2 linked regions of the Saccharomyces cerevisiae S288C genome follow. The protein of the gene in region 2 interacts with the protein of the main gene of each other region in a pairwise test. Each region holds a gene or a part of one and is shown on either strand. Other genes may lie near its edges.

Evidence for each region.
Region 1: the proteins of ERG27 (region 2) and ERG24 interact in a protein complementation assay, tested with the Saccharomyces cerevisiae proteins (one study listed by BioGRID).

What each region holds. Positions count from the first base shown.
Region 1 is NC_001146.8:104,085-121,058, forward strand, and holds ERG24 (delta(14)-sterol reductase), read right to left. Parts: upstream 6,328-16,974; coding exon 5,011-6,327; downstream 1-5,010. Other genes in the region: mitochondrial 54S ribosomal protein uL15m MRPL10, read right to left, coding at 1-18; WSC2 (Wsc2p), read right to left, coding at 1,100-2,611; POP3 (Pop3p), read left to right, coding at 3,603-4,190; HCH1 (Hch1p), read left to right, coding at 4,383-4,844; pheromone-regulated protein PRM1, read left to right, coding at 6,833-8,818; CAF120 (Caf120p), read left to right, coding at 9,187-12,369; YNL277W-A (uncharacterized protein), read left to right, coding at 12,595-12,783; MET2 (homoserine O-acetyltransferase), read left to right, coding at 13,265-14,725; BOR1 (Bor1p), read left to right, coding at 15,184-16,914. UniProt on the Saccharomyces cerevisiae protein: Delta(14)-sterol reductase; part of the third module of ergosterol biosynthesis pathway that includes the late steps of the pathway. ERG24 reduces the C14=C15 double bond of 4,4-dimethyl-cholesta-8,14,24-trienol to produce 4,4-dimethyl-cholesta-8,24-dienol.
Region 2 is NC_001144.5:332,252-348,679, reverse strand, and holds ERG27 (3-keto-steroid reductase), read right to left. Parts: upstream 6,871-16,428; coding exon 5,827-6,870; downstream 1-5,826. Other genes in the region: tRNA splicing endonuclease subunit SEN2, read left to right, coding at 500-1,633; LCL2 (Lcl2p), read right to left, coding at 1,700-2,095; DNA replication initiation factor CDC45, read left to right, coding at 2,739-4,691; APC9 (anaphase promoting complex subunit 9), read left to right, coding at 4,913-5,710; MIM2 (Mim2p), read right to left, coding at 7,092-7,355; lysophosphatidic acid acyltransferase ICT1, read left to right, coding at 7,752-8,936; CHA4 (Cha4p), read left to right, coding at 9,207-11,153; SCF ubiquitin ligase complex subunit HRT3, read left to right, coding at 11,415-12,449; serine/threonine protein kinase KIN2, read right to left, coding at 12,647-16,090. UniProt on the Saccharomyces cerevisiae protein: 3-keto-steroid reductase; part of the third module of ergosterol biosynthesis pathway that includes the late steps of the pathway. ERG27 is a catalytic component of the C-4 demethylation complex that catalyze the reduction of the keto group on the C-3.

The sequences.
Region 1 (16,974 bases), on a different chromosome or scaffold from region 2:
TTGCCTTTCCGCTTTCATCAACTTCTAAAGGTCATGAGCTTTAATTTTACGCACTGCGTTTAGTGCAGTTACCTGGAGTTTCAGCCGGGTAAGAAAACTATACGATTGCCAAATAGAAAAACGGATATAAAGATAGTAGCTGTGAATAGTAGCTTTGTATAGTACATAAAGGTACCTTATCTAACATTGCTTGCGACGCAGAATACGCAAAATATACTGTTTAATTGCAATCAGGAGTTTGCTACGGTATTTGGTATAATCGGAACTCATATTGTCCTACGTTCACCGAGACCAATGAACGCACAATAAAATGGATACTTGGAATGCCCTACCCAAAATATGAGCTGCGTTTGTTTTGTGAAAAACGAAAAGTAATTAAGTTGTTTTGCAGAAGTGTGAATAATTGGGGGACGCCATTTGGTTTCTCTCTTCTGATTGATTAAAGTTAATTTCGGCACAATAACCCAATGACTGGCTAGGAAACTTCTCGATGCATCCGTGATCTCCCAAGGACGAAATGGTTTTTATCACGTCCTAACGACATCATATGTCCTCGAGGAGAACTTCTAGTATAGTATTTATTAACAATGGAATCCCAACAATCATCAAATTATTCACCAAATATACACAGATTCTTATACTAACTAAAGTAAGAAGATTAGGATTTCCATACTCATTTTGTTAAGTAGCACTTGTATATCCGGTTTTCTCAAGTTCTGAGCTTCTATGGCCAAGTTGGTAAGGCGCCACACTAGTAATGTGGAGATCATCGGTTCAAATCCGATTGGAAGCATATTATTTTTATTCTACGGTAAACATGCCTGATGGTGATTTGAGACAGACCCCATTGCCTCAGATTTGTGAAGAATAGAAAATGTGTACATTCATTTTGATAAACTATACATATACTTAACTTTTTAACATGATAAATCAATATTGATATGGTCGGTACTGTTCACTTTATCTATATTTTTTTTCTTTCGTGCAATAATCGTCGGCTTTAATAATATTATACATACAAAGGGAAAATGAAGGAAAGAAATATGAAAGGATGAATAAGTCTTTGATATGAATATGTAGTGTTGGTATCTAAACCTAGTCAGCGCAAAGAACTATTATTGGAATCCTTTGCATCATCGTAATCATCATCACCATCTGAGACATTACTCCCAATATTTGAACTCACATTATCGGGGTTGACAATGTGTAGTTGTCTTTCTTCCATCATATCGGGCAGCGAAGTAGCACTGAACCTTTGGTTCCCGTTATAGATCGAAGGAGGCTCCTCGTACACTACCGAGGGAAAGTGACTTCTTTTGCTGATATTATGTGCATCACCAGTAATAATAGAATCTCTGCCGCCCGGCGCCCTTGTCGGCAGATCATAAGTGGCAAAAGTAGACGCTGTATTCTTGGACAATGCTGTATTATTCCTAGAGGGTATGTGCCAGTTAGTGCTCGAAGCAGACGGTGGAATAACAGGGTTAGCGTCAGCATCACCCAGTGAGTACGGCTGGTACTGCTTTGTCTCTTCCAAGTCCACATGCTGAGAAGATTGGCGACGTTTTTTCCATACGAAAAAGAATAACGCCAGAGCCAACAAGGCAACTGTACCACAAACCACACCTACTACGACACCTGCGATGGCGCCACCACTCAAGCCTTTGCTCTTGGACGAGCTCGATTTCCCGTTTAAGAGAGAACTAGTAGAGGAGGACGTAGACGATACTGTTGCATAAACAGAGGTCCTGGTGGTAAAGATCGTGCTTGCTTGTTGGTTAGCTTGAGAAACCACGGACTGCGTCACCACACGGGTAGTGTAATGCGTGGAAGTACCTATTGAAGTCGATGAGGGGGTAGAAGTGACCGTTGCTGTCGAAGTTGAGGATGAGGTCGATGTGGTGGATGAAGAAGTTGCCTGCGTAGAGGACGTTTCTGAACTGGAAGAGGCAGAAGTGCTAGAGGAAGTGGTGGAAGGAGAAGAAGAAGTAGAAGTAGTACTAGAGGTAGTAGAAGTAGTAGAAGTAGTAGACGTAGAAGAGGAAGAGGATGAAGAAGAGGAGGAAGTAGTTGTCTCTGAAGAGGAAGTGGTAGTGGAGGTTGTAGACGAGGAAGAGGATGAGTGCGTAGCAGAAGAACTAGTTGAAGTTTTCGTGTCCAATTTCGTGGACGTTTTTGAACTAACACTTGTGCTTGATGAAGATGTTGTCGATGTTGAGGTAGCAGTAGATGAAGTTGAGTCCGCGGTAGAAGCAGCGTTATTGATATAAACGTTCATGGCAGAAGAACCACCACAATTTTGGTAGGGCCAGCCAGCACACGAAACATCACATTTGCTCGAATCTACCTGCGTCAAAGACTGTAACTGAGCTACGGAACCACCACAGTAGCAACCTGTACCGTTGAAAAGAGCAACGACAGCCTGACCAGGGCATTCATTTTGACAGTAGGAAACTGATTGATACTCGTAAACACCCTTGTAAGTCAACCCCAATTTTCGTATATCACTAGCTGAATAGCAAGCTTTATATGTGAATTGGTCAGCCAACGCGGCTCGTATATATATGAGCCACACTAAGATGAAGGACTTGTGTATGAGATCTAGGTGCATATTCCACTTCTATAATGCTGTTGGTCAAAAAGAAATTCAAAGAAGAAACAATTAGAAACCAGAAAGTCTGTAAAAATACAAAAAAGCGTGTCCTATAACCGAACAGCAATGTTTGTTTTCACTAGATTTGTTTTCTTTTGGCGAAAAACGAAGGTAGAAATGAAAGTAAAAAAAGAGCAATAATGGTAAATCAAAGGCTAGCCACGCTTTGAGCTATAGTTGGTCGTGCTGAGCAATAGTAAAGAATTGAAAAAGCGAGTGGATGATTTGAAAACTGCTTATATGTTTTACGTTGAGGGTTTCTCCTCTTTATTTCTTCGAAGGACGGAGGACAGGTATAAAGCAGTCGCTGGAACTCTTTTCCCTGACAATCTTAAAAAGAAAGACCGAAACAGAGTGTTATAAAACGAAACAAAAAACCTGCTGTAAATGCACTTCTGGGAGAAGTGCTAGATCACAACATACAAACATATGCAAATTCATAGTAAAAGGAGATAGGGCCCAGATGACCAAATCAAGAATGGCTCACTGTTGAAACATTCTGCTTAATGTCGAAACAGTCCGTAAACAAACACATTCCCACAAAACACCGCACCGCGAAAAAAAAAAAAAACAGGAAAAAACGCGAAATGTCCGTAACTTTACCCGGTAATAGTCACGTGATAAAGGTGCATTGGTCTAGCTGGCTGTTCTGGCCAACGCGACAGCAGGGTTCATACTTTCAGTAGAACAAAAATCGGGGGAAATGCGATGCACTCTTTAACTGCAATTATGCACATCCTATTGCCAGGGCGGATATTTGATGTTGTTCTCAGATATGTATTCCCTGATCTATACCGTTCTCATAGTTCAATTTTCTCTGATTTTCTCGTGCGGGCAATAAGTAAAAAATAGCATTTGCGTGCTTAAGTGAAATTTTTCAGATTATGAGTGATATAGAGATGAGGACTGTAACAAGAAGGAAGGTGAGGAAATCAAGACGGTAAGTAGCATGTCCGGGTCGTTAAAATCTCTAGACAAGAAAATAGCTAAAAGAAGGCAGGTGTATAAGCCCGTGCTAGACAATCCGTTCACAAACGAAGCACATATGTGGCCGCGCGTGCATGATCAGCCATTGATTTGGCAGCTGCTGCAATCCTCTATCATAAATAAGTTGATTCACATTCAATCGAAGGAGAACTACCCTTGGGAGCTGTATACAGATTTCAATGAAATTGTGCAGTATTTGAGCGGCGCTCACGGAAACAGCGACCCAGTATGTCTATTTGTGTGCAATAAGGACCCTGATGTACCGCTTGTGCTCTTGCAGCAAATCCCGCTATTATGCTATATGGCGCCCATGACGGTTAAACTGGTGCAGTTGCCCAAGAGTGCCATGGATACCTTCAAGTCGGTTTCTAAATATGGAATGCTGCTGCTGCGGTGCGACGATAGGGTCGACAAGAAATTCGTATCGCAGATCCAGAAGAACGTTGATCTGCTTCAGTTTCCCTGGTTAAATGCTATCAAGTATCGGCCCACATCTGTCAAGCTGTTGAAAACTACAGTGCCAATTGTCTCGAAGAAGAGGCAAAAGTAGACAAAATTACCCGCGCAGGCCTATTTTTCTAGAAGACAGAAGAAAAAAGTGGGCAGAGAAAGCGAGGAAAAAAAGAAATACATATGAAGAAGAAAAAAGCTGAAATTTAAGCAAATACTTTTTGGACAAAATCATCAAACTACTACTAAAGTTTGAAACGATCGGAAAGTTACAACACATTTACGATAAAATATGGTTGTCTTGAATCCAAATAACTGGCATTGGGTGGATAAAAACACCTTACCTTGGTCTAAGGACTACTTGAACGGTAAATTAACGAGTTTGTCCACTGTTTCCTCTGATGGGAAGAGCAAAATTGAGTTAACCCAGGTGAGTAGCATCACCGGTGACTCCAACGTATCTCAAAGGAAGGGCAAGCCGATTTGCTACTTTGACTTACAGTTGTCGATGAACGTCAAAGTGACAAATTTGGATACTAATAAGGACGACGAGGATGATGACGGCATACTTGCGGACGGGAAACTAGAAATTCCAGAGTTTATGCATGACGAGTCTGATATTCCGATTTTGTCGCAAGGGTTTGATGCTTTTGATGGATTGGTTAGGTCTGAATTTGTCCCTAAAGTAGTGGAAACGCTACTAAAATACCAAGATGACTTGATTAAAGAACACTCAAAGGATATACAAGTTTGATGTGTTCATGTAACGAAAAGGGGAGCGTTGCATAGATAGACCACCGCCCCTTTTAATTTTTCCAGCGTTTTCAATTGTTATTCTTCTTCTTCCTCATACTCACCCAATACATAACATGTATACACACATACATAGATAATGAAGAAAATAGCAGTGGTAGAAAAACTTAATAAACATATGGAATGATCTTGTAAGGAACTTTTCTTTCGTATTCTTCCCAATTTTCGCCATATTTCAGGCGGCACTTGTGCTCATCACGTTGTTGACGGTGTAATAACAACGTGGCGAAGTACAACGAGTAGTAATATGTCAAGGGAGTTTGGAACCAGGTGGCCAAACACCAACTTAATGAAATCAGCCAATCGCCAAAGTAATTGATATGCTGTGATTTAGCCCACCACCCGTCACATAATAACTTTGTACCACGCTTTGTCTGAATACTTTTTAGATTTTCTAATTTACCTTGTCTAAACTCAGATTTTTGCTTATTTGCCGAGTGGAAGATGTGGAAACCCAAAAACATTATGGCTAATATACCGACAACTTTCACCCATCCCAATTCCACAGGGGAAACACTCAAGTAACGCGCTTGTAATGAGTAGGTGAATGGAACTAAACTTAAGTCACCAAACGCTAGCATGAAACCAAACCCATCTGTAGTGATATCCATCATGGTTAATACACCTTCCTCGTTTAGTACTCCATCGAAAATGTAAAATCCTTGCAAGAAATTAACCAAGACCAATGCATCGTTGATTTTACCAGTCTTCAGGTAATGGTGATGCAGACAGGAAAGATTGATCAGTAACCATAACAACATGCCGGGTCTCAACTCTGAAAACATCTTGATATCTAATGGGCCGAGACGAGGGTTCAGTTCTCTACCAATAAACCAATCGTAAATGATGTTTCCTGAATTTCCACCTAGTGCTAAGATCTTTTCCCTTTTGCCATTACCATTTTTCTTGAAGATCAATGGTATGAAGCTGGCAACATAGCAGTACGTCGCCAAAAAGAACGAAAACAAAATAGATATTATGCATAAACTAACGTGATTTTCATACAGATATTGCAATTCAGGCAATTGTCCATCAGTCAATTTCCATCTGATAGCCAAAACTAAGACCAAAGTTGTAGACATGGCAATTCCATTGATCTTATACGAAAGCTTCGAACCATCCCTTAACTGAACACCCTTCATGACTCTGCCCGGTAAAATGACGTCCAAAACTGCCAGTATTCCATACCACAGGCAATAGACAGTCCATAATTCACGATTGCCCAGATAGTAGCGCAATGGCTTGATACCGTTCCAAAGCTCAACTATATCGAAATTCTGGAAAAATCCCTTAATAAAATAATCGGGCCTTATCATTTGATTCAAGATGATAGTGAAAACAGGCAGCCCTATGCTGATGCCTAAGGCACCAATCAGCCCACCAAATTCAAACTCTGTAGTTCTGGGATTCAAAGCTGATACCATCCTTTTATTCTCTACACCGAATTTGTCTTTACTCCTATGCTGTTTACAAGGTCTATCTGATAAGCAATTGCGCAAGAAAATAGTAGAATGAAAACTGATTATTAAAAACAAACGTAAACTCAAGCCTCACTTGATGCTCAGACGGAGTACGTGAAAAACGTCCGTTATGCAAAACCCTTTATATGCACAACCTTCACACAATGCAAATTTCCGATGATGCCTACATACAAAAGAGCGAAAGGCGATATAAATTTTTTTCACGGGATTTTCGTTTAGGTGAAAATAAAATGAACGACAGAGCATGCAGAGTCCGGGTAATACATATGTTTCAATACTGTTTCAATACTGTTTCAGAAGTGCGTCACATATTAATTTTAACTTATAACTGGCCTGTTGCTGGCAAGAGGTATATATATATGACGAATGTGACCAACATAAGTCCTTAAGATAATCCCGAAATATTTGGTTAGGATGATTCCCTTTCGAATTTGTGAACGTTGATGATATGAGCGGTTTTAAATGCTATTTGCAATTGGGTGACAGGCTCTCTCAAATATGGCTAAATAAGTATACTTTGGTTTTGCTGCTAGCAATGCTGAAGCTTCTGTTTTTCTCCAAATCCATACAACATGCGATAGAAGTCTCGGAAACGTATATTTTGTCCAATTGTTACAGTATTGATTCACTATACTCCAAGATGACAGACAACACGCCGCACTATTTAGGTATCATGGGGAATTATCTTATCGAGAAGGGTATGGAGGAGACTGTTAAAGCTACGCTAGAGACGTTATCACTTATAGTATATGCGAGCGAGGGGCTGGTAAACTTTGCCATTGACCTGTATTTGGGCACTTATGCCTGTTTGATTGTTAGTGCCGTTGATGGTACCGTGGACGTTGCTACTAACATTACAGAAAAACTGATTAGCTTAGTCAATGATACAGTTTCAAGTGTGGCTAATGAATTGGATACGGGCTTGAATGACATCTCCAAAATAATCAATAAAGTGATCAAGGCCGCATCCAAAGTAGAGAATTTTTTCACAGGTGATGACGATGACAGTAACATGACGTCGTCAATCAAAAGCGTCAACTTAACCATATCTGCGCTTCACAATTTATACATTCCTTCCTCAATCAACGATAAGCTTGAAGAGTTATCGGCAAAGACGCCGGACTTTGCCCAGGTTAAGAATACAACCAAGAACCTGATCTCGGTTCCCTTCAATGAAGTTCGGAAGAATATCAAGGCCGTGAATGCCAGCAATATAATCGGAGATACCTCCGTTTTGTACGTACCTCCCGTGTCCCTTGACAACAGTACTGGGATTTGCTCATCCAATCAATCAGAAATTTTGGCCTTTTATTCCATCTTGGGACATGTCCTGAAAATAGCCACCGTAGTGTGCATTACCGTATTGATATGCTTCGCTGTTGGTGCGATGGCGCCCGTTGCATGGAATGAAATCAAGCTCTGGAGGCGCCTTTGCGGAATGAGAGACCATTACATGCTGAGCAGGCAAGATTCGTATACGTCCTTTTCCAGTGAAAACACGCACGAATTGAAAGATCCATTTAGAGATCCTCCTATACAAAATGGCCAATATGATGTCATTGCAAGCTATCAGCAGTGCTTTCAAACATGGAACACAAGAATAGCAGGCTGGATGACAAATCTTGTTACCTTTGGAAAATCACCAGAGAACATTGACCCAAAGACTAAACAAAAAATAGAATGGGTAGTGGCTTATATGACCTCCGAAAGAGCACTGTGTGTTCTTGGAATTGGACTTTTGGGAATTTTAGTGTGCATATGCCAATTTGTCATGATAGCACTGTTAAAACACAAGATAAGCCATTCATTGACTTCTAATGATGGTGACGGCGTTCAAAATTTGCTGAAGTCTAGCACTGCCGTCGATATAGAGAACCAAATGAGCCTTTGGAGCGTTCAGACTAATAAATATATAAATACTACGGAGACCAATATCAATCAGGAAGTATTCGGGTGGATAAACACGACAACACTTTCTGTGAACAATACAGTGGCCACCATGATCTCTGATATAGACACAACTTTAGCAGATGTATTCAATGGAACACTGCTATATAACCCAATGAAAACCGTGGTCGGATGTGCCATTGAAAATAAGCTCTACACAATAGAGAAGGCAATGACGTGGATTCACGACAAGGCTCAGCTGCATATCCCGAGAATTAATGGGACACAAATCAAGCAAGCTCTGGCAAAGCAAACCGACAACAGCACTATACCCACTGCAAGCTCCACTTCTGCCGCCACAGAAAACTTACTGGAGAACCTTGTGAATGATATGAGAGAAGGACTTTTAAAAATTCTCCGAGCTTACCACCGTATAACTCTGGGAGAACTCACGGTAGCCTTGGTCATTCTTGCGGTGTGGCTCGTACAATTGCCCATAGCTCTGGTAATTCTCCGATTACGTCTTCGCAAAGCCACCTTTGACTGATTAATTAGTTGATAGACTTTTTCCGTCATAACTCTATTTAATAATGATGACCAAAAAGAGGCTCGTTCGAATCATTTCGCGTTGAATTTGAAATTCGCGGAGGAAAAACACGCAAAGAGAATCGGAAACCTTATCGTCAAATCATTGCACCTTGCAATGGTGGGTAATGATACATCATCGCAGTAACAGTATTCATATATTCGTATAGTTAATAAGATCACTTTTCAGTTAGCTTATACAATAAAAGATATTACCTTTTGTATTGTTAGTTGCAACATCCTTTTTTTATAAACTTTGACAGGCGATATTACGTTTGTCACTTCGGTTTCCCCACACAAAGAACACGTTACTTGGCAAATTCAGCTCTTATGCGAATTTTTTCAGGTGACAACAAGGTAGTTGATTCCCTCGCCTCTAACCCTGGATTAATGAGTCCATCGAATTTTGGCGGTGACTTCGGTTCACGACTAAAAGTAAATGTAACATCAAAAAAGAAACTTAACGACTCATCACCAACTTCTCCCATGGAAAGTTCACCAGTTTCACCTGAGTTGGTGCCTATTCTAACACTGCTAAATGCACATACACATAGAAGATATCATGAAGGCGTGTTTTTGATTTTACAAGACCTTAACAACAATGGCACTCATGCAGCAAGGAAATGGAAGGACGTATATGGGGTACTGTTGGGTACTCAACTAGCCCTTTGGGACGCCAAGGAACTAGCAGAATTCACTGATCCGTCTTGTCCGGTCTCTGAAAAGAAACTGAAGGAAGTTGCTTCCAAACCCACTTATATCAATTTGACAGATGCTACACTAAGAACTTTGGATAACTCCGATAATATCGTAATGGAGTGTGGAAAAAACCTCACTAATGCATTGGTGGTTTCTACTACGCTGAAAAACCGATATTTCTTACAATTCGGTAACAAAGAGTCTTTCAACGCATGGAATTCTGCTATACGATTATGTTTATACGAATGTTCTTCGTTACAAGAGGCTTACACAGGCGCATTTATTTCAAGTAGAGGCGCAAAATTAGGTGATATCAGAATTCTCCTTACGAATAGAAAATATGATTACAAGGATTGGGTCAGCGTCAGATTCGGAGCAGGTATGCCGTGGAAGCGCTGCTATGCGGTAATCTCTCAATCTAGCAGTAAGAAAAAGGGTCATTTTGGTGAAATAAATCTTTATGAAAATGACAAGAAAGTGAAGAAAAACCATGCAATGGCTACTATTGTAGAGGCAAAGGCGCTTTATGCTGTTTACCCGTCCTCCCCTAAACTAATAGATTCCTCTACAATCATTAAAGTCGTAGGTTCTGTGAAATTTGAAAAAAAGGAGTCTGCTCAGGAAAAGGATGTCTTTATTATGCCCGAGAAGCATCAAGCTGTACCAAGTTATGACACTATAATAAGGTTTTTAATACCGGCTATGGATACTTTTAAACTATATGGAAGACCAGAGAAATTATTGTCAAGCAAGAACGACCCACATTCACTTTTGTTTGGTTTGCCAGTTTTGCCACATATATACTACTTGGAAGTGGAGGATTTACTTCCATTGACTAATTCTGTATCAAGCTTACACTGGTCGAATAACGAATGGAAGGAACATATCAGTGATATTTTACAAAGGAAAATAGCACAAGGCTACTGTGGGTGTAATTCTACTTCCAATATTACTTCTCCTCTACCTTCTCCTTTCCTTGGTTCAGCAGACTTATTTGAAAGGGCCGATGGTGTTTTATCACCGAAACTTTCTTACGGGTCTAAATCTTCTTCGAATAACAGCTCGAAGAACAGTTTGCCAAAGAGAGAGCGTGTAAAATTGTCATCTTCTTCTGAACAGGACCTTAATAACTCTGATAGTCCATCTATTAAACGTAAAAGTCCTCCACTAGTGATATCTGAAAGTCCACACAAAGTCCACACACCTACTGATGCATCCTTCAGAACAAGAGTGACAGAAGGTTCACCTTATGCGAAGCAAAGACATCCCAAGCCGTTTGCGTCATCTGTAAACGATTCACCATCAGACAGAGCCAAGTCGAGGACAGTTCCTTACAATAATAACGACAGGAAAGCGACCACTCCTGAGAAATTTGAAAGAGGAGAAACCTCTTGTGGTAAGAACGTGGACGAAAGTTTGGAAAAGGTCCGGAATATGAAGTTAGAAATTCCCGAGTCCAATTTTGACAAGTTCATGACAGACAAAAATCTGTTGTCTGTGGATTCTAAATGCTCTAATGAGAAGAAGCTCTCTGTGGAATCAGATTTGTCTGCAATCTACGAAAAATACTCCAATGGTCCCTTTGGTCACACTGAGGGTCTTAACGGATCTTCTGATGAAACTTACCTTCGTTTTCAACGGGCGTCAGTTCATTCAGAGAGCAACTACAATTCAAGAAAATCCTTTACACCAAGTGACTTTTCTAATGGCAATGAGGAAGAACATGCCGTTTTACAAGAATTAAATAGTTTAACCCAAAGAATTAATGAACTAGGCATGGAAAGTATAAATTCAAACTCCGATTCGGACAGAATAAACGGGTCATATTCACAAGTGGATTTTGGTAACAATAACGACGAGGACGATATGAACCTGTTCGACCCAGATTTTATGGCACAAGACCAATTGCGTGCTGAAGAAAGAGACTACAACAAGGATGATAGAACACCCTTAGCTAAGGTCCCTGCGGCCTTTCAATCAACTGGATTGGGCATAACCCCCGATGACGATATCGAGAGACAATACATAACGGAACACAGATCACGACATGAAGTGCCAAAGCGGTCTCCCGAGAAACCCTCCAACCCGCTGGAAATAGGTAACCCATACGCGAAACCTGGCACAAGGTTGAATACCACTCACACCCACAGCAAAACTGATCGTAGCATTACCCCTCAGAGGGGCCAGCCAGTCCCATCAGGCCAGCAGATTTCCTCCTACGTGCAGCCAGCAAACATTAATAGTCCTAACAAAATGTATGGTGCAAACAACTCGGCAATGGGTTCGCCCAGGAATCCAAAGACGAGAGCGCCACCAGGTCCATACAATCAGGGATGGAATAACCGCCCCTCGCCTTCAAATATTTACCAACGTCCTCATCCCTCAGATACACAACCACAAGCATATCATCTCCCCGGAAACCCATACTCAACGGGGAACAGGCCAAACATGCAAGCGCAATATCACCCGCAGCAGGTGCCCATGCCTATCCTGCAGCAGCCCAATCGCCCGTACCAACCTTATGCGATGAATACGCACATGGGCTCTCCTGGCGGATATGCTGGGGCAGCACCACCATTTCAGCCAGCTAACGTCAACTACAATACTAGGCCTCAGCAGCCATGGCCTACACCTAACTCACCATCCGCACACTACCGTCCGCCCCCTAACCTGAACCAGCCTCAAAACGGTAGTGCTGGTTACTATCGTCCGCCGGCACCACAATTGCAAAACTCCCAAGCCCGTCCACAAAAGAAGGACGGATTCTCACAGTTCATGCCATCTGCAACTACGAAGAACCCATATGCCCAGTAACTCGACCGACTGGTTGTAATTTTACAAAAAGAGAGACAATTAAGAAAAGAAACAAGCGCCAGGCTTCCGTATCCCAGTTTTTCATCTCACTTTCTGGGCACGATTGTAATAATACTTCATGATAATAACTAAACTATATAAGTAGTGTCTCATCCGTAAATATACATTTAGACAGATTCTTGTATTTTCTCCGGGCAATTTTTAACTTTTTTTCTGTTAGGGCACATGACACTTGCCTATTATGGACAGCCAGTAAAGATGTGCCATATATTGCCCCCTTTACGCTCTCTGCCAGTATTAGTGGGAAAAAAAAAACTGAAAAAAAAAAAATCGCAGACTACTAATAATCACGTGATATTTCTTTTCACTCTCTTCATAAAGTTGCTAAAAACACACAATCGAATGAGCCTCTGAGCAGTATAAATTGTACTTCAAAGCACTAGTCATGAAAAACGCTTACATTAGTTCAGTTTGTCAAGGTTATGCTATTACTTGTACTTATTTCTTGCTATTGTTAGTGGCTCCCCACATTGACGTATTTTCACGTGATGCGCCTCACTGCGGAAGGCGCCACACATTGCCTGCAAAAAATTGTGGATGCACTCATTTGATAGTAAACTAAGTCATGTTAATCGTTTGGATTTGGCACACACCCACAAATATACACATTACATATATATATATATTCAAAATACAGCTGCGTCCAATAGATGAGCTTCCGCTTCGTTGTACAACCTACCTGCTATCTTGTTCACGGATATTTCTTGCTTTTAATAAACAAAAGTAACTCTAGAACAGTCAAGTCTTCGATAATTTTTTTAGTCACAGGGTCCGTCTAAAGTTTCTCTTTATTTGGAATAATAGAAAAGAAAGAAAAAAACGTAGTATAAAAGGAATGTCGCATACTTTAAAATCGAAAACGCTCCAAGAGCTGGACATTGAGGAGATTAAGGAAACTAACCCATTGCTCAAACTAGTTCAAGGGCAGAGGATTGTTCAAGTTCCGGAACTAGTGCTTGAGTCTGGCGTGGTCATAAATAATTTCCCTATTGCTTATAAGACGTGGGGTACACTGAATGAAGCTGGTGATAATGTTCTGGTAATTTGTCATGCCTTGACTGGGTCCGCAGATGTTGCTGACTGGTGGGGCCCTCTTCTGGGTAACGACTTAGCATTCGACCCATCAAGGTTTTTTATCATATGTTTAAACTCTATGGGCTCTCCATATGGGTCTTTTTCGCCATTAACGATAAATGAGGAGACGGGCGTTAGATATGGACCCGAATTCCCATTATGTACTGTGCGCGATGACGTTAGAGCTCACAGAATTGTTCTGGATTCTCTGGGAGTAAAGTCAATAGCCTGTGTTATTGGTGGCTCTATGGGGGGGATGCTGAGTTTGGAATGGGCTGCCATGTATGGTAAGGAATATGTGAAGAATATGGTTGCTCTGGCGACATCAGCAAGACATTCTGCCTGGTGCATATCGTGGTCTGAGGCTCAAAGACAATCGATTTACTCAGATCCCAACTACTTGGACGGGTACTATCCGGTAGAGGAGCAACCTGTGGCCGGACTATCGGCTGCACGTATGTCTGCATTGTTGACGTACAGGACAAGAAACAGTTTCGAGAACAAATTCTCCAGAAGATCTCCTTCAATAGCACAACAACAAAAAGCTCAAAGGGAGGAGACACGCAAACCATCTACTGTCAGCGAACACTCCCTACAAATCCACAATGATGGGTATAAAACAAAAGCCAGCACTGCCATCGCTGGCATTTCTGGGCAAAAAGGTCAAAGCGTGGTGTCCACCGCATCTTCTTCGGATTCATTGAATTCTTCAACATCGATGACTTCGGTAAGTTCTGTAACGGGTGAAGTGAAGGACATAAAGCCTGCGCAGACGTATTTTTCTGCACAAAGTTACTTGAGGTACCAGGGCACAAAGTTCATCAATAGGTTCGACGCCAATTGTTACATTGCCATCACACGTAAACTGGATACGCACGATTTGGCAAGAGACAGAGTAGATGACATCACTGAGGTCCTTTCTACCATCCAACAACCATCCCTGATCATCGGTATCCAATCTGATGGACTGTTCACATATTCAGAACAAGAATTTTTGGCTGAGCACATACCGAAGTCGCAATTAGAAAAAATTGAATCTCCCGAAGGCCACGATGCCTTCCTATTGGAGTTTAAGCTGATAAACAAACTGATAGTACAATTTTTAAAAACCAACTGCAAGGCCATTACCGATGCCGCTCCAAGAGCTTGGGGAGGTGACGTTGGTAACGATGAAACGAAGACGTCTGTCTTTGGTGAGGCCGAAGAAGTTACCAACTGGTAGGGATAGATACCACACATACCTCAGGCATAACATAGATAAACCAGTACATGTATATCTATATCTATATTTATATATAGACAAACAGCATTAATTAACTATAACAAAGTTTCTAGTAACACTAACGGTAGTAGTAGATTTCTCTTTTTTGTCCTCGTTGTTAAAAAACGAAAGAAGAATGAAAAAAAAAAAAAAAAACAGAAGAGTAATAGCTAGTGCTTTAGAGCTTTCCACATTTTGACCGCACTTGTAGACAGCCACTCTTGCGTTGCCACTCGACATTACATGAACAACTGTTCTTCTCCCTGTAGCCTTAGCTTACTTCAAACTTTTTTCGTTTAGCGGGGAAAATACATCACTGAAGTAATTTTTAGATCACTCGTGGCGTAAAAGTAAGCATATCGCAATAATCATACTCATATCCTTTATCATCCAAAAAGTAGTAATAGCGCTGGCAAGGCATGTCGAATGAGAGCACACGAGTTACCGTTAGTCGCGGTTGTACAGCCTCCGACGAGTGTGCGCAAGCATTGGAACGGACAAACGATGAGCTAGACAGAGAATCATCGGTATCAGAAAGTAGAAGTGATGAAGAGAGCCACGAGAAGTTATCCCGACGTCGATTCCCGACGCTAGGTATAGGCATATGGCTCGATTTGAAGGACAGAATACCGTATTACAAGTCAGATTGGGTAGATGCGTTTAATTACAGAGTTATTCCCTCTATTGTTGACACCTACTTTAATAACCTGCTACCTGCAATAGCCTTTGCGCAAGATATGTTTGATAGGACTGATAATTCCTATGGTGTGAACGAAGTACTTCTATCCAGTGCAATGGCTGGAATTGTTTTTGGAGTTCTTGGTGGACAGCCCTTATGTATAGTGGGTGTTACTGGCCCCATCTCTATTTTTAATTATACGGTCTACGAAATTATAAAGCCTTTGAATACCAGCTATTTTGGCTTCATGTTTTGGATTTGTATGTGGTCTATGATTTTTCATTTAGTTTTAGCATTTACGAACGCCGTTTGCCTCTTGCAATACGTGACTACGTTCCCATGTGACATATTTGGATTATTTATTAATGTGGTCTACATTCAAAAAGGAATACAAATTTTAACAAGACAGTTCAGTGCTAAATCAGGGGAGAAATCAGTACAAGACGGATTTGCTAGTGTCGTGGTGGCGCTGGTTATGACTGCGTTTGGTCTTTTCTTTAAATTATTTCATTATTACCCCCTCTTTTCTCATAGGATCAGAACATTCATATCTGATTATTCAACTGCGCTTTCAGTGCTATTCTGGTCATCATTTACACATTTTGGTGGCTACTTGCATGATGTCAAATTTAAAAAATTGCCTATTACGAAAGCTTTTTTTCCTACTTCCAAAGTCAATAGGCCTCAAAATACTTGGCTGGCATATGAACCGATTCCTGTTAAAGACGTCTTTATTGCCCTACCATTTGGTATATTTTTAACAATCTTGTTTTACTTTGATCATAACGTATCGTCGCTAATGGCACAAAGGCATCAGTATAAGCTGAAAAAACCATCCTCTTTTCATTACGATTTCGCACTATTGGGACTTACCACTTGCATCAGCGGGGTTCTAGGAATCCCGGCGCCCAATGGTTTGATTCCTCAAGCACCATTGCACACAGAGACACTGCTAGTTAGGGATTCAAACCAAAAGGTTATCAGTTGCGTAGAGCAAAGATTTACAAATACGTTTCAGGGCCTGATGATTCTAGGGACAATGACAAGACCGTTATTGGTATGCTTAGGAGAAATCCCTCAGGCAGTACTTTCCGGATTGTTTTTCATTATGGGCATCAATGGCCTAATGACAAATAGTATTATACAACGGTTGGTTTTCCTGTTTTCAGACCCTAACAGAAGAGATAATACTTCACCTTTAATGAAAGTATCCAAGAAGTCAATGCTGATATTTCTTTCCTTTAGCCTGACGGGGTTTGCTGGTGAATTTGCTATCACAAATACTATAGCGGCCATCGGCTTTCCCTTAGTATTGCTTTTAAGTGTGTTAGTTTCTTTCTCGTTTGCTTATATTTTCCCGACTGAAGAATTAAAGATTCTCGATACTAATGTGGCACAAAAATTTACCATTAAAAATTTGTTATTGGAAAATATTCGTGATGCAAAGTTCTGTGATAAGCATGAAGACTAAACGCAGTTAGGATGTACAAAAGTCAACCACTTGTAATATATAGAAATTAATTGCATATAT
Region 2 (16,428 bases):
AGTTTCCCATTCAGTTCTATAGGAAGTTAAAACAAAAGAGCTGTTTGAGAGCTCGTAGGCTTTGGTTGTTAAGAGAACGGACTAAATAACACCAGGAGGTGTGTCTAGACTTAGTTGAACGAGTTTTTTCTCGTGCTATTATATCTGTTCTTAATACTTCCACTTTATTTTAATGATGATAGCATGATTTATGTTGCTCGAAGTTAATCGATGTGAGCACAATGATTTCTCAAGACTACAACGGTATCTGAATTTTATTTCTTGTCAAAAATGTTTTATAGAAGCCACTCTTGCTATAGATTTATATTGCCACACATAACTTTTTCACGTAAATTTGAAAGAGCTATATTAGCTGGTGCTTTCACTAACATCTCTTTGCTCTAGTATTTCATTTCGGTGCATAAAACATTTGAACTTCCATCGAAATTCAATATGCTAAAACGTTTCATTGTAACACGACGCTGAAAAGACAATAAGTACGAAGGACTCAAGAAGGAGCATGTCTAAAGGGAGGGTCAATCAGAAGCGTTACAAGTATCCTCTTCCAATTCACCCCGTAGATGACCTTCCAGAGTTAATCCTTCATAATCCGTTATCTTGGCTATATTGGGCATACCGCTATTACAAGAGTACGAACGCACTGAACGATAAAGTACATGTAGATTTTATAGGAGATACCACTCTTCACATCACGGTTCAAGATGACAAGCAAATGCTATATCTTTGGAATAATGGATTTTTTGGCACTGGTCAATTTAGCAGGAGTGAGCCTACATGGAAAGCTAGAACAGAGGCCAGACTGGGTCTCAATGATACTCCCCTCCACAATCGGGGAGGAACAAAGAGTAATACTGAAACGGAGATGACTTTAGAGAAGGTCACACAACAGAGGAGATTACAAAGATTAGAGTTCAAGAAAGAACGTGCGAAGTTAGAAAGAGAATTACTAGAATTAAGAAAAAAAGGTGGTCATATCGATGAGGAAAACATCCTCCTTGAGAAACAACGAGAATCATTAAGAAAATTTAAACTAAAACAAACAGAAGACGTGGGCATCGTTGCACAACAGCAAGACATTTCCGAATCAAATTTAAGAGATGAAGACAACAATCTTCTTGATGAGAACGGTGATCTTTTGCCACTAGAGTCACTAGAACTAATGCCAGTGGAAGCTATGTTTTTAACTTTTGCACTTCCTGTTCTTGACATATCTCCCGCGTGCCTGGCAGGGAAACTGTTTCAATTCGATGCCAAATATAAAGATATTCACTCCTTTGTCAGATCATACGTTATATACCATCACTACAGATCACACGGTTGGTGCGTAAGATCTGGTATAAAATTCGGCTGCGATTATTTATTATATAAGAGAGGGCCACCATTTCAACACGCTGAATTTTGTGTTATGGGTCTTGACCACGACGTCTCTAAAGATTATACGTGGTATTCTAGCATAGCCCGTGTTGTGGGCGGCGCAAAGAAGACGTTTGTGTTATGCTACGTGGAGAGACTAATCTCGGAACAGGAGGCGATAGCACTATGGAAATCAAACAACTTTACTAAATTGTTCAATAGTTTTCAAGTTGGTGAAGTATTGTATAAGAGATGGGTTCCCGGAAGAAATAGAGACTAGAATATCAATGAGAAGATAAATCCTTCGTATGTATATATGTATGTGTATGTATTTTTTATACAGATTTCAATGGTTTTTGTAAGCATCTGATACCCATCCACAATCCCTAAACCCCTTGTTCTTTGCTTTGGGGCCCTTGACAGGGTCATCATATATTGCTCTAAACTTTTCATTGTGTGTGGCTGGTTTGGATATGCAAACAAATTTATTATCAGGAAGGACACATTTCAACTGAGATTTAGGGAAGGGACAAGGACAGTCTTTCTGCTGTGCAACGCACGTTAGGGTGTCCGGACACAAATACCCATCACAAGGGTTATTTAAAACTTGATCTTCATATGATTGTTGCTGTTGCTGTTGCTGTTGCTGATGATGACCGAAATTGAAGAAGGCATTCACTCCAGTGCTGCCAAAAATAAACAATGCAAAGATGAGAACGATACTCCAGCGACTTTGACTCATACTACAGTAAAATTTGGTCGTTTTTTGCCTGGCAAACCATGCCTATTTTTCGTCATTAAAGGTCTTCTGAGCTTTCATCAAAATTATCTCTATAATTATAAAGGACAGCTCAGAGCCACACCCAAACATCTGCAAAGGTAAAGGCCATCTTTCATCTCACATTGCCTAACAAGAAAGTCACATTGCAATTGTTTCGAGAAGAAAACATTAATTCAATTACGTGGTTCCCATGCGTCTGTGTTAAGCGTCAATTTATCATTTGACGAACTCGTTGCAACCACAAACAAAGCAAGGGCCGCATTTATCAAAGGAAAACCAACCAAAAGCATAAATAAACGAGATTTTTATTATGAAAAAGCCATGCGAATCCTACTAGAATAAATTCAAAGTGAAGACATTTAGTCAATTCGATCTTCTCTCTCTTGCTTTAACTAGTCGTAAAACCTAATAAGTTTCATTCACGACGCGTATTTTTTTTTCAACATATCATCTAACGCGTTTTAAGAAATTTCAGTAAATAATGAAGCTGTAGTAATGCCAACAATCCATTGTGGCTACTTTATACAACGCACTATAGAGCAATAAAAGTGTAGCAATAAACACTAGAGAGAAGGCACATAATAACAAGAATATACTCTCGCACATGTATTATGGAATCAGCCAGTTTAGCGAAGCCTACAACAAAATCTTAAGGAATTCATCGTCTCATTCATCATGTCAATTGGTCATTTTCGTTTCTTGTCTTAACATCGATGCGCTGTGTGCGACGAAGATGTTGTCACTATTATTCAAAAAACAATTGGTACAATCTCAAATAGTACCGATATTTGGGTACTCTGAATTACGACGCCACTATTCTCAATTGGATGACAATATAAATAGTCTGCTATTAGTAGGGTTTGGAGGCGTTATTGATCTGGAGGCTTTCTTAGAAATCGATCCCCAAGAGTATGTTATCGATACAGATGAAAAGTCGGGGGAACAAAGTTTCAGGAGAGACATCTACGTGTTGGATGCTCATAGACCGTGGAATCTCGACAATATATTTGGATCACAAATCATCCAATGTTTTGACGACGGTACGGTGGATGACACATTAGGCGAACAAAAAGAAGCATACTATAAATTGCTTGAACTGGACGAGGAGAGTGGTGACGATGAGCTCTCAGGTGACGAGAACGATAATAATGGGGGTGACGATGAGGCAACTGATGCCGATGAAGTCACAGACGAGGACGAAGAAGACGAAGATGAGACAATATCTAATAAAAGAGGTAATTCTTCAATAGGACCGAATGATCTCTCAAAAAGAAAGCAACGAAAGAAGCAAATCCATGAATATGAAGGTGTTTTGGAGGAATACTATTCTCAAGGCACAACAGTGGTTAACTCGATATCTGCACAAATCTATTCATTATTGTCTGCTATCGGAGAAACAAATCTTTCAAACCTGTGGTTGAATATACTTGGTACGACCTCGTTAGATATAGCATATGCTCAAGTTTACAATCGATTATACCCCTTATTGCAAGATGAAGTGAAGCGTCTCACACCAAGCAGTAGAAACTCAGTAAAGACCCCTGATACATTGACGTTAAACATCCAACCGGATTACTACCTTTTCTTACTGAGGCATTCTTCATTGTACGACAGTTTTTATTATTCTAACTATGTCAATGCCAAACTATCCCTATGGAATGAAAATGGGAAAAAGAGATTGCATAAGATGTTTGCTAGAATGGGTATACCATTAAGTACTGCACAAGAAACATGGTTATACATGGATCATTCTATTAAGAGAGAACTTGGGATAATATTTGACAAAAATTTGGATCGTTATGGGTTGCAAGATATAATTAGAGATGGGTTTGTTAGAACTCTTGGATATCGTGGGTCCATAAGTGCCAGTGAATTTGTCGAAGCACTAACAGCTCTTTTGGAAGTAGGTAATTCAACTGATAAGGATAGTGTGAAAATAAATAATGACAATAATGACGATACAGATGGAGAGGAAGAAGAAGATAACAGCGCTCAAAAATTGACGAATTTGAGAAAAAGATGGGTTTCGAATTTTTGGCTCAGTTGGGATGCTCTAGATGACAGAAAGGTGGAACTATTAAACCGTGGCATTCAACTAGCACAAGACTTACAGAGAGCAATTTTTAATACCGGGGTTGCTATATTGGAGAAGAAATTAATCAAGCATTTAAGAATTTATAGATTATGCGTCTTACAAGACGGACCCGATTTAGACTTGTACAGAAACCCATTGACGTTATTAAGATTAGGAAATTGGCTCATAGAATGCTGTGCGGAATCTGAAGACAAGCAATTGTTGCCCATGGTGCTTGCCAGCATAGATGAAAATACGGACACTTACTTGGTTGCTGGGTTAACACCTAGGTATCCTCGCGGACTAGACACGATACACACAAAAAAACCTATTTTGAATAATTTCAGCATGGCGTTTCAACAAATAACTGCAGAAACGGATGCTAAAGTGAGAATAGATAATTTTGAAAGTTCCATAATTGAAATACGTCGTGAAGATCTTTCACCATTCCTGGAGAAGCTGACCTTGAGTGGATTGTTATAATCAAATTTATATTATTTAGTCGTACATATATACCAGCATATGAATATAAAATCTAAGCTTTTTCAAGCTTTTAAGTCCAACTTTTCTATAATAATACCATATTTTGTGCGCGGCTCTTGACAAAACAAAAAAAAAAACCTAAATAAAAGGAAATTAAGAACAGGGAACTAGGTTTGGAAGGACAAATTCAGGAAGGAAAGAAATAGCTGTGACAAAGTAAGATGAACCAAAATGGTGATAAGAACGAAGGCAAGTTGTTTCAACTACCGTCATTGCCGCCCTGGAAAACACCAAGGTTCAACAAAGCCAACTTTAACAATTTTACCACACCGCTACGGAAAAGGTCGACAAGGGTAATAAATGATGATTCGATGCCCATAACAGGCGAAGTACTAGAGGAGAGGACTGCAGATGATCTCTATGGGATAAATATGGACGTAGACGAAGTCGACTATCTGAATACTTTGAGCCACATCGAGGAAGAAAAGCAATACGATTATTCACCGTTTTGTGAGCGCAATACGCTAAGGGAAAGTAGAATTGACAGTTTTTTGAAAGCCGAAAGGGCAGCACATTGTCTTGTGTTTCATAAGGTGGGCCATCTAGACGGCATAGACAGCTATCGACCCGATATTGACATCATGTGCGGCGAAGAGGCTAATAAATATGACAGTGCGAATCCGGAGGGCAATGGTTCAATGTTGTTAGAGAGTGTACCTGGATGCAACAAAGAAGACCTGGAGAGGTTATCAAGGCGAGAATTTGTAACAAATTCGAAACCTAATATGAGACGGTTGGATGACATAATAAATCATGAAACGAACGCCTTAAAAAGTTTCTGGAACGACTCAGGATTAGTCAATTCACTCCAAAGTCATCATTTGCATGAAGAGTACCTTCTTTTGCAAGAAGAATTAAAGAATGTGTACAAGATTAAATGCCATGACAGAGTGCCAATAGAAAGTCTACGCGATAAGTGCAGAAGACACTATAGCAACGAGGATAGTTCGTTTCTCTGACAGAGGCAATGCCTTTTTTGCTTCACGTGTATATATATCAGTTGATATGCGTTTTCTATACAGACATACATGTATATACACACATATATATATATACATATGTACGCAGAGATATATTAAATGGGGGTTCTAGTTTCAACAATTTGATCTTTCAGTTTCTCGTCCCATTCCAGTTTCTTCTTCTGTATATAAGCGAAGACATCAGACATTCCAGTAGGGTCTATTTCCTGCGTCTTGATATATGGCATACCATCCCTAGAGGTAGCAGAACCGTATTTTACGTCTTGTTTCTCAAAGTTTGGATTGGCCAATCTAGTTACGTATACTGGGGCATTGGCAGCTTTATAACCATCAATATTGTGCCATGGAGACCCCAACAGCCTGGCCAAATAGAACAAGCATAGCATGCCGAAATAGGTGAAAAAATTCAAATATTCGGAGAAGGAATGGCTTGTAAATATGCCCGGTTGAACTACATACTGATTTATGCCCAGCTTTTTCAAGTCTTTGTAGGTGGCCAAATGCAGTAAATCAACTAAACGCTTGGAGCCCTCATAAGAGGCATTTGTCTTTAGTAGTTCAATATCGTTCAACGAAAGATACTTAGGATCGGACATAATACTCGAAATCCAAACAATATAAGCCTTTCCCCTGGTCAATTGAGGCAGAATTTTACTGATAAAGTAGTACGGACCAAACACATTGGCCTGGAAAATAAGCCCCATGTCATCTTTAGACTTGACGCCCACCAGTTGTATCTTGTATGTCGGATTTGTCACTGCCTCCAATGGATTGGTGAAAACCTCCTTGACCGCTCCGATCCAATCTATACCGTCAAAGATACCTTGCGCAGCATTCACGAAAAGGTAGTTTATCGCCCTGTACTTTTTGTTGATGTCGTAATATGCGTTCAAGACACTCACCATGTTGGTGAAGTCCACCAACAGATAATCAAAGTCTATTTCCAAATCCTCTACACGGCCTGATTTGTTGTAAAAATCTTTAATCTGGTTAATCACCTCCTGCACTCGAGGAAGCGTTCTAGAAGTCACCACAATGGTCAATCTGACATTGGTGTCCTCAGTTTCAATCAGACGGAACACAATGTTCAGACCAAGATTACTATTAGTACCCGTTACGATAGCTACTTTCCTGTTCATCCTATCCTCCTACTTTTTCTCTTTGCTACTTTTTTTCGACACAGATCATGTGCTTGTTTCTCGTCCTATCTTTTAAATACCTGCTCAATTCAAGATGCCGTTCTTTCGTTAAACGACCATAAATAAAGGCCCACGTACTATCGGAGATAAAACAACGGGTGTGCGAAAAGTGCCATTTATCTGTTATAACTGCTATATGCGGATACATAAACAACAAACACTTATACAAAGTGTTCAATGAACCTACTCCATAGAGTCTTGGCCATTCTCCTACCTATATACTTGCCCAGCAGGGGCAGCAGGACCCAGTTGAGCAGCTTGTTCAACTGTTGCAGCGACTCTTCCCATTGACGCTGTGCATCTGCGAGCTCGTTGCTGAGTGACGTGTCCTCGTCGCTGAGGTAACCATCTTCTTCCAGGCCCTCCACGCTGTTGATTGTGTCGATGCCCTGCAGGATCACAGAGGTATCCTCGCTATCTGCCATGTTCTAGTTATTGTTGCTCGTGCAGTGATGTGCTGTGGTGCTGGGGAGTGGTTTGCTCTGCCGATCTTGCTTGTAACGGCCGGCCGTTAAATGGGCCTTCGGGGTCCAAACGAGGCGCGGTTTCGTGAATCTTGCTTGGCTGTTTTTGGCTTGTTAATCCCAATTTGCGATAGTTTACGTTTCCACGGGGCACTGCTCAACGGGTTTAGTTCCGTGGAGCAGATGTGTTGCAGATACTAGTTGATATTTATGTTGATGTTGATCATTCTTGTGGCACAAAAGTATAAATAAAGCAGCGTGCTCTTTTTTGTACGTGGAGTAGTAGAAGTATATTCGCAGGTCTTTCTCTCATTGTTCAGGACATATACATACGTAAGCGTAGTTTTCTTCAGTAGAATGTGGACAAACACTTTCAAATGGTGCAGCAAAACTGAGAAGGAGACCACTACTGCAGACGCCAAGGTGTGTGCTAGCGTGCAGGGCCTGAAGGCCCTGCAGCAGCAAATTATGGATAGCACCACTGTGCGTGGGTCCGTTAATAACACGATGACTCCAGGCGGGATTAACCAGTGGCATTTCCACAATAAGCGTGCGAACAAAGTGTGCACGCCTACAGTACTAATCCATGGATACGCTGCCTCGTCGATGGCGTTCTACAGGACGTTTGAGAACCTGTCAGACAACATTAAAGATCTATATGCCATCGACTTGCCAGCCAATGGTGCCTCAGAGGCGCCAGCATTGCAAGTGAACAAAACCAAGAAGATCAAGTCTCTCAGGTTTAAGCATATAGAAGATGACGTAGTAATCCCTGTGATAGAGAAGCGCCCCCCAGCAGAGGACATCAAGTCACACCTGGAGCAGTACGAAAGCTACTTCGTAGACAGGATAGAGCAATGGCGGAAGGATAACAAGCTTCGCAAAATAAACGTGGTGGGCCATTCATTCGGAGGATATATTTCATTCAAATACGCCCTCAAGTACCCTGATTCCATTGAGAAACTGTGTCTCATATCTCCTCTTGGTGTGGAAAACAGTATACATGCTATCACCCACAAATGGGAGCCCAACACCACCTATCCACTTACGTTTACCGACCCATCGTCCCGATATTATACAAGAAAGCTGAACGTACCGCGGTTTATCTTTGAAAACCAGCTAAACGTTTTGAAGTGGATGGGACCCATAGGCTCCAAATTGTGCTCGAACTACATCTCCACCGCATACGTAAAAGTTCCGGATCAGATATATAAGGACTATCTTTTGCACTCATTTGTCGGGAAGAACCAGACGGTGCAACCACAGACAATCAAGGTGTTCACCCATTTGTTTGAAAGGAATCTGATCGCTAGAGATCCGATAATAAACAACGTTCGTTTTTTGAACCCAGCAACGCCTGTCATGTTCATGTATGGCGAGCACGATTGGATGGATAAATATGCGGGCTACTTGACTACTGAATCAATGCTAAAAAACAAGGCAAAGGCTAGCTACGTTGAAGTCCCTGATGCTGGCCATAATCTTTTCCTGGACAACCCGCAGCACTTTGCCTCTTCTTTAGTCTCGTTCCTGTCAAAGTAATGCCTATATAGAGTAGAGAAGAAAAATACAATATGGAAAACCACGCATATATATATATATATATATAAATACATACATATACATAATACATCACTTTACTTAACCGTATACAAGATAGAGCAACATATACATCAAGAGTGTAAACCTCTCATATGTGAGCGGATGTTCCGATCCATCCCGAACGAAACAAAGCAAAATCAACAAGTTGACATCGCCGTAAGTTTTCAAAAATAGCCCTTTTAAAACTCGAAGCTCTACACAATCGCAGCAATGATGTTGGAGCCTTCACCTCCACCTTTAACAACAACGGTAACACCCTCCCTTCCGTCCAGTTTAAAGAAATCTGTGACAGATAATGACCAGAATAATAACAACGTGCCCAGGAAGAGAAAACTAGCATGCCAGAATTGCCGTAGAAGAAGAAGGAAATGTAACATGGAAAAGCCTTGTTCAAACTGTATCAAGTTTCGTACCGAATGTGTATTCACTCAACAAGACTTAAGGAACAAAAGATATTCTACGACTTACGTAGAAGCTTTACAGAGCCAGATTCGGTCTTTGAAAGAACAGTTGCAAATATTAAGTTCCTCGTCTTCCACAATTGCTAGCAATGCTCTCTCCTCGTTAAAAAACAACAGTGATCATGGTGATGCTCCTAATGAAAAAATCTTAAAGTATGGCGAAACAGCACAATCAGCACTACCATCATCTGAAAGCAACGATGAGAATGAGTCTGATGCGTTCACCAAGAAAATGCCTTCCGAGAGCCCTCCACCAGTTGGCACAAATAGTATATATCCATCAAATTCCTTGTCTATAATAAAAAAGAAGACGGATGGAAGCACAAGATATCAGCAACAGCAGGTCAGCCTAAAAAATTTATCAAGAAGTCCCCTTATCTTAAGATCGTTGTCACTCTTTTTCAAATGGCTATACCCGGGACATTACCTTTTCATTCATAGAGAAACTTTCTTAAGTGCTTTCTTCGGTGATACTAACACTAAAAGTTACTATTGTTCCGAAGAATTGGTATTTGCAATCGCTGCATTGGGATCTTTGATTTCATACAAATCAGAAACTGAGCTTTTTCAACAATCTGAAGTGTTTTATCAAAGAGCCAAGACGATAGTACTCAAAAAAATTTTTCAACTGGAAGATTCTTCGTTAGCTGAATCGTCGTCCTCTTCGAAATTAGCAATCATCCAGACTCTATTGTGTTTGGCATTTTATGACATTGGAAGCGGAGAAAACCCCATGGCTTGGTATCTTTCTGGGCTGGCATTTAGGATTGCCCACGAAATCGGCCTACATTTGAATCCAGAAGCATGGAGTAATGTTTATGAAGACGAGCTGTCAATAATGGATTTTGAAGTGAGAAGTAGAATTTATTGGGGCTGCTACATTGCTGATCATTTAATAGCGATCCTCTTTGGAAGATCAACTTCCTTGCGTTTGTCCAATTCCACTGTTCCAGAAACAGACGAGCTACCTGAAATTGAGACTGGTATAGAGGAGTACATATATGACCCAAAAGTAATATTGTCCACTGCAAACCCCTTGAAGAAACTGATTGTGTTATCGAGAATAACGGAGATTTTTGCATCCAAGATTTTCAGCCCAAACGAAACTCTACTTCAAAGGAGTGAATACTTGGCCAAATTTAATCTGGAGGTATACAATTGGAGAAGGGATTTGCCCCCTGAACTACAATGGACCAAGAGGTCATTGATGGAAATGACAGATTTTAACCCAACCATAGCTTACGTATGGTTTCATTACTATATCGTGCTAATTTCCTATAATAAACCTTTCATATACGAAATCAAACAAAGCCGGGAATTGGTTGAAGGTTATGTTGATGAACTGTATTATCTTTTAAAAGTTTGGAAAAATAAATTTAAGACGTTTGAGAAGGCCACAATTTACATGATTTATTCTGCGATTTTAGCCATCCAATGCATGAAGTCCAACTTGATTAAAAAGGATAGAAAACAAGACTTCTTAAATTTTTTAAGTGCGCCTACCCTGAATTACGAACTTGCTAGAAAATTCATAGAAAACTCTGAAGATGCTTTGCATAATTCAGAAACTATGGATTTATTAGGGACTCTATCTCACGGTAACGATTTTGCCTTAGAGTACAATTTTGACTTTACTTTATTGAATGAGATTGATATGCTGATTGGTGGAAACACCAATGATGGTTTGTCGAAGTAATCTTGAGTGAAGAGGATATGTTTACTTGAACAAATATTCTTTATGTAATGTGTTTGTAGCCTTTTTATTTGGGAAGGAATATACCGCTATCCTTTCCCACCTCCGAACTTATCGATTCGGAATTTTAAAGAGCCTTCCAAATGACAAAAAAAAGGATTGTAGTTCCTAGATAGCGAAATCGACTGAGCAAGATAAAAGCAAACATTCCCCATCATCTTTGGCGACGACACATGTGTTCCATAAGCTAAACTCAAGGAGCAAATGATAGTAGATTATGAAAAGGACCCTAGGGCTAAAGAGGCTATTGCTATTTGGGAAAAAGGTGTACTGAAAGAGAAGGATGGGTCAATGTCAGATGCTATAAACTTCTATCGAAGTGCATTGAAAATCCATGATAATGTGGAATCACTGTACAGAAAAAAAATACTTGATGAGTGGATGCTGCACAAAAAACTATCGGGATTATCAATGACTACTGATGCTCCAGATGAACAAAATGAAACCGGTAAAGATGACTTATCTGTTGAAGAAAATGCTGAACTTCAACCCTGCTGGATTCTGGAAATCTTGCCTGACGACATTTTACTGAGAATTATTAAAAAAGTTATATTAATGTCTGGTGAATCTTGGGTGAATTTGTCGATGACTTGTTCCACCTTTAGCAAGCTTTGCTTCCACGATTCTGTGCCATTTAAAACTTTCGCGAAGTACATATATTCTAAGCAAATATACGACAAAATGGCAATGGATCTTAACGGAATCACCGATATAAATACCTTTGAAAAGGAAATATGGCGGGGTGATGATTATCGTATGTTAAGGGAAAGGCCATATATTAAATTCGAAGGTGTTTACATCAGTGTAGTAAATTATGTAAGATACGGTTCCAATGCAGAAAGTTCGTTATCTCTTTTAAAGCCAGTTCACATGATCACCTATTACAGGTATTTCAGATTTTATGAGAACGGCCAATGTTTGAGATTACTTTCTACAGATGAACCTAGCGCTGTCGTGAAGCACTTCTCCAAAGAGAACAAACCCAGGCATAGTCATATGTGTTATTGGAGCCTCGGATTTGATTATGATTTTGGTCATTTAAAGATAACAAGGTCAGATGAAAAGTATACGTTTATCGAAGAATTCCAAATCAAGAATCAAGGCAATAAGAGATATCAACGGTTGAAATGGCTAAGTTCAATTGTAGTGGATAAGGAAGGGAATGCATCTAACTGTTCGTTGAGAAATGAGAAATCTTTTTTCTTCTCCAGAGTGAAATCTTTCAAGGATCCTGGATGACATCGATGTTTTTTGCAGTTGTTTTACTTTATTTATTATTCTTATAGATTTATGTAGAACTATTATTTCATCATATGAAAGATTAAAGAAAGCAGATCTCAGCTTAAATAAATTATACTATAATATTAAAAAAAGATAAATATTAGATAATAAAAATTGAAAGACACACGTTGAAATATTTAGTAAGAACAACGTATCTATAGGTTTAATTCTTTTAAAATATACGATGCCAATTCTTTATATAGCCACGTATTACCAGAAACCTTTTTGAAATGTACACCTGCTAGGCCGACGATACGAACCTTTACAATGTGAATCTCAAATTTAATAGGAGGCCTTTCTTTTATACCAGAAGTATTGGTTTGCTCTGTTTGACCATTTACGTTATTTATATTTTGGGCTCTTGATGTTGTTAAAATATCATCCTGTTGTTGAACATAATCTAATGACATGGAAGATAGTTCCCCTGATGTACCATTACTTTGGTTTCCGTAGTTTGGAGACATTGGGATAGATGAATTTCTTTGATGTGTATTGGTCGCTAAAGGTGTTAGTGGTATATTATTCTGGCCCCTCTTATAAGAACCTTGGCGTTTTATCGAACTATTTCTTGATGCTGAGGACGCTGTACTATGGTAACTGGATGATAATTGACTGTCTAAACTATTTTGCAGATCCATCGCCTTTCCGGAATCCAAACCCACGCCAGTAGTGGTTATAACAGGGACAGCTGCAGTCTCAATAGATGGCCTTTGTTGGACACATATGAACCCGCCTTTCACTTCTTTGAAATCAATATTCATTCTTGTTAAAACAGATATGATATTGTGACGAACAATAGGCAATGGTTTAGAGGAGGTTGTTTGTACAGAGAAAAAACCCTTCAAAAACATTGACTTTGGATAATCAATTGATGGCATAGACCCGGGGGGTGCCTTTGAAGCTTCCTCCAAAATTTGCTTCTCAGTAAGCTCCTGAGAATACACCGAAGTCAGTCTATTGTTAGTATCGTTACTGTATGTGGTAGAATCTTCAGGAACGGTCGAAAAGTTACTGCTAACAGGATTGTATCTCTCCTTGTTTGCCTCTCCCAAAAAGCCGTTATCGTTTGTCATATCTGATGGCGGAAGGGCTGCTGGTATAGGCGGCCTAGTAAATTTCAAAGATTCACGACGAGCATGCCCCACCGATTTAGCCCTTGCACTAGGATGTAACTTACGACCCTTCGGAACGGAGAGATAATGGTCACTATTATCATTATTGATACCATCGACTACAGCGTTCACATTGTTGTTATCATTATCATTAATTTGTAATTTGTCGAGATTTTCCTGTAATAGTTTTTGCCGTTGTTTTTGAACAATTAGTTCGGCGTTCTGAGGTAAAGCTGGAAGATCACTGTTTTGCTTTTGTGATACTGACCTTATAGGAGGTGCTATGGTAGTGTTTTTAGCGGGTTTCTGTTTTACATCAACAGAATTTGGCACGTAAGATGGATATCTTCTAGCGCTAGGAATATAATCTGATATAGTACGACTATGGCTTTTCGGTACTTTGATGGAAATTTCATTTGATTTTGACATATATGTTGGAGGTTCTCTTTCTGGAAGAGGTTCCTGTTGCCGTGTGGGATGCTGAGATTGTCCACTTTGTGATATTCTTCTGAATATGCCGCCTATTGTATTCTTTTCCTGATGTTCACCTACTACGGGTGAAGCAGAACGTTGCTGATATTCGCCAGACACGGGGACTGGTGTTGATTTCAAAACACCATTTAATTCCGTATGAATGTCGGAACTCTTCCTAGATGTTGGAGAAGTATGCGCTTGTTCCGGTATTGTTAGTTTAGGAGGAACCATTACATGCAGTGGAGGTTTGTTTGAGGTATTAGTGTTGTTTGAGGTTCCCGATGTTCCAATTGCCGGCACTTGAAAAATACCAGGATTAGGTACTACTTCTTTCTGAGGGCTCCTCATTTTGGTCATAATATCCGGGGAGTTATTATTTAAGGCGACCTTAGTGCCAAGTGCTACTTGTTGCTGTTGTTGCCTTTGCTGAGCTTGCGCTTGCAGGGCCAATGCTTGCCTTCTTTGCAACTTCGCTAATTTCCGTGCAACCATTTCTGAAACCAAGTGATATATTGATAGTAATGGATGATATGCTAAAGTAGGATCTTCAAAATTACTATCTGGTTCATTATAACCACTTTGCGATGGATTACTTGTAATATGATTTTGTATTAAGGTTTGTTGTGCCGTTGAATTTAGGTAGTTATTATTTAAACTTGAACTCAACCCCTTGGCGTTGGATAATTTGTCCCAGTATTCTTGGGAAAGTTGGATGTATTCCTTTTCAGTTACTAATCGGATCAATGATCTTCTTGTATCTTCAATATCGTCAATAAATTCTAGGCGATACATTTCCTTCAGAACTTGGCTATCTATCATTTCAGGGGTTAATGGAACACGATTAGGAACATATGATGGAGCCTTAAAATCGTATCCTCTGTTCATCCATGGATGCTCAACGACATTCTTTAATGTTGCTCTTCTTAATGGGTCGACAACAATCATCCTGGTTAATAAAGATATAACTTCAATGGATAAGTGTGAAGGATAGTCTACTTTACCTTTTTTTATTTTTTCATGTAAAATGCTTGAGTTCTCATCATCAAATGGTACTTTACCGCAGACCAAGACATAAAGAACAATACCAAACGACCAAATATCTACCTCAGGTCCTGTGTATGGCTGCGCTTTTAATAGTTCTGGTGCTGCAAAGTACAAGGAACCACAAAACGTATGTAATTGTTTCCTATAATCAAAAATGTTGGAAAGACCAAAATCAATGATCTTAATTTCACCTGAACTAGATATCATTATATTCTCAATTTTCAGATCTCGATGAACAATATTATTGGCATGTAAGTATTGCAGCGCACTAGCTATACCTCTGGCAAATTTCCTCGCATGGTGTTCCTTTAATGAGCCATGCTGAATAATATAATCTAACAGCTGTCCACCGGAAACGTATTCAAAAAGCATATAAAAATGGTTTGACATAGTGCACATTTCAAATAAACGACAGATATGAGGATGGTAAAGGATTTGGCCCAAAGAGGCTTCCCTAACAGTCCTTTTATCCCTCGCAATTTCTTTTTCTAACCGCTTTTGTCTTTCTAATATCTCACTCTCATTCTTTGGGGAAGGTAAAGAGTGCTGTTTATGGAGATAAGCCTTGGAAGCCCTATTAACAATCTTTATTACACAAATTTCCTTTGTTTGACGATGCTTGACCAATTTAACTTTACCCATAGAGCCTGCGCCAACCGTTTCAAGGAACTCCCAATCTCCCAAAGATCTTCTATGAAATTGCCTTAATTCCACGGCGCCATTAGGCCTCGATGCATCATTTTGTCTCTGAGCTGCCTGTTCCTTGCCCTGTTTGATATCTGCAGGAGGCATCAGTGGTGCTTGTTGCTGGTCATTTCTTGGTCCAGATTGCTTGCCCATCATGCGAAGAGTGGCTGGTGCAGCAACTCGCGTGTCGTTGAAAGCTTCTGGCGTCGGCGATAAAGATCCGCCCTTACTGGTCCTGAAATTTGGATTCACCAAGTAATCTGCTGTATTCGGATTAGGCATAGTGAAATACTTAACAATTGAGCCGCGATATTAATGGCACAATAAAACTTTTAGAAATTTCTTTTGAAAAGCGTTTCTCGGTACCTAATGCTGTTCGCGCTCAGAGTTCCGCTGAATTTCGTGTAATGCAGTATATTTTGTAATAAAGTTCTCGTGGCCCGTCCTTGACTGTGAATTTGTGTCAACGGCGTGCTCTATTCCTTGCTTAAACGGTGGCAAAGCAGGACTTCTAGGTCCACTTGAGCTCTTCTTTTCCTTTTCCAACCTTTTTAAATTTTCGTTGCTAGACCAAGTTACCGCTATCACCGCACACGGAATGCGAGAGCGTCAAAAGTGAC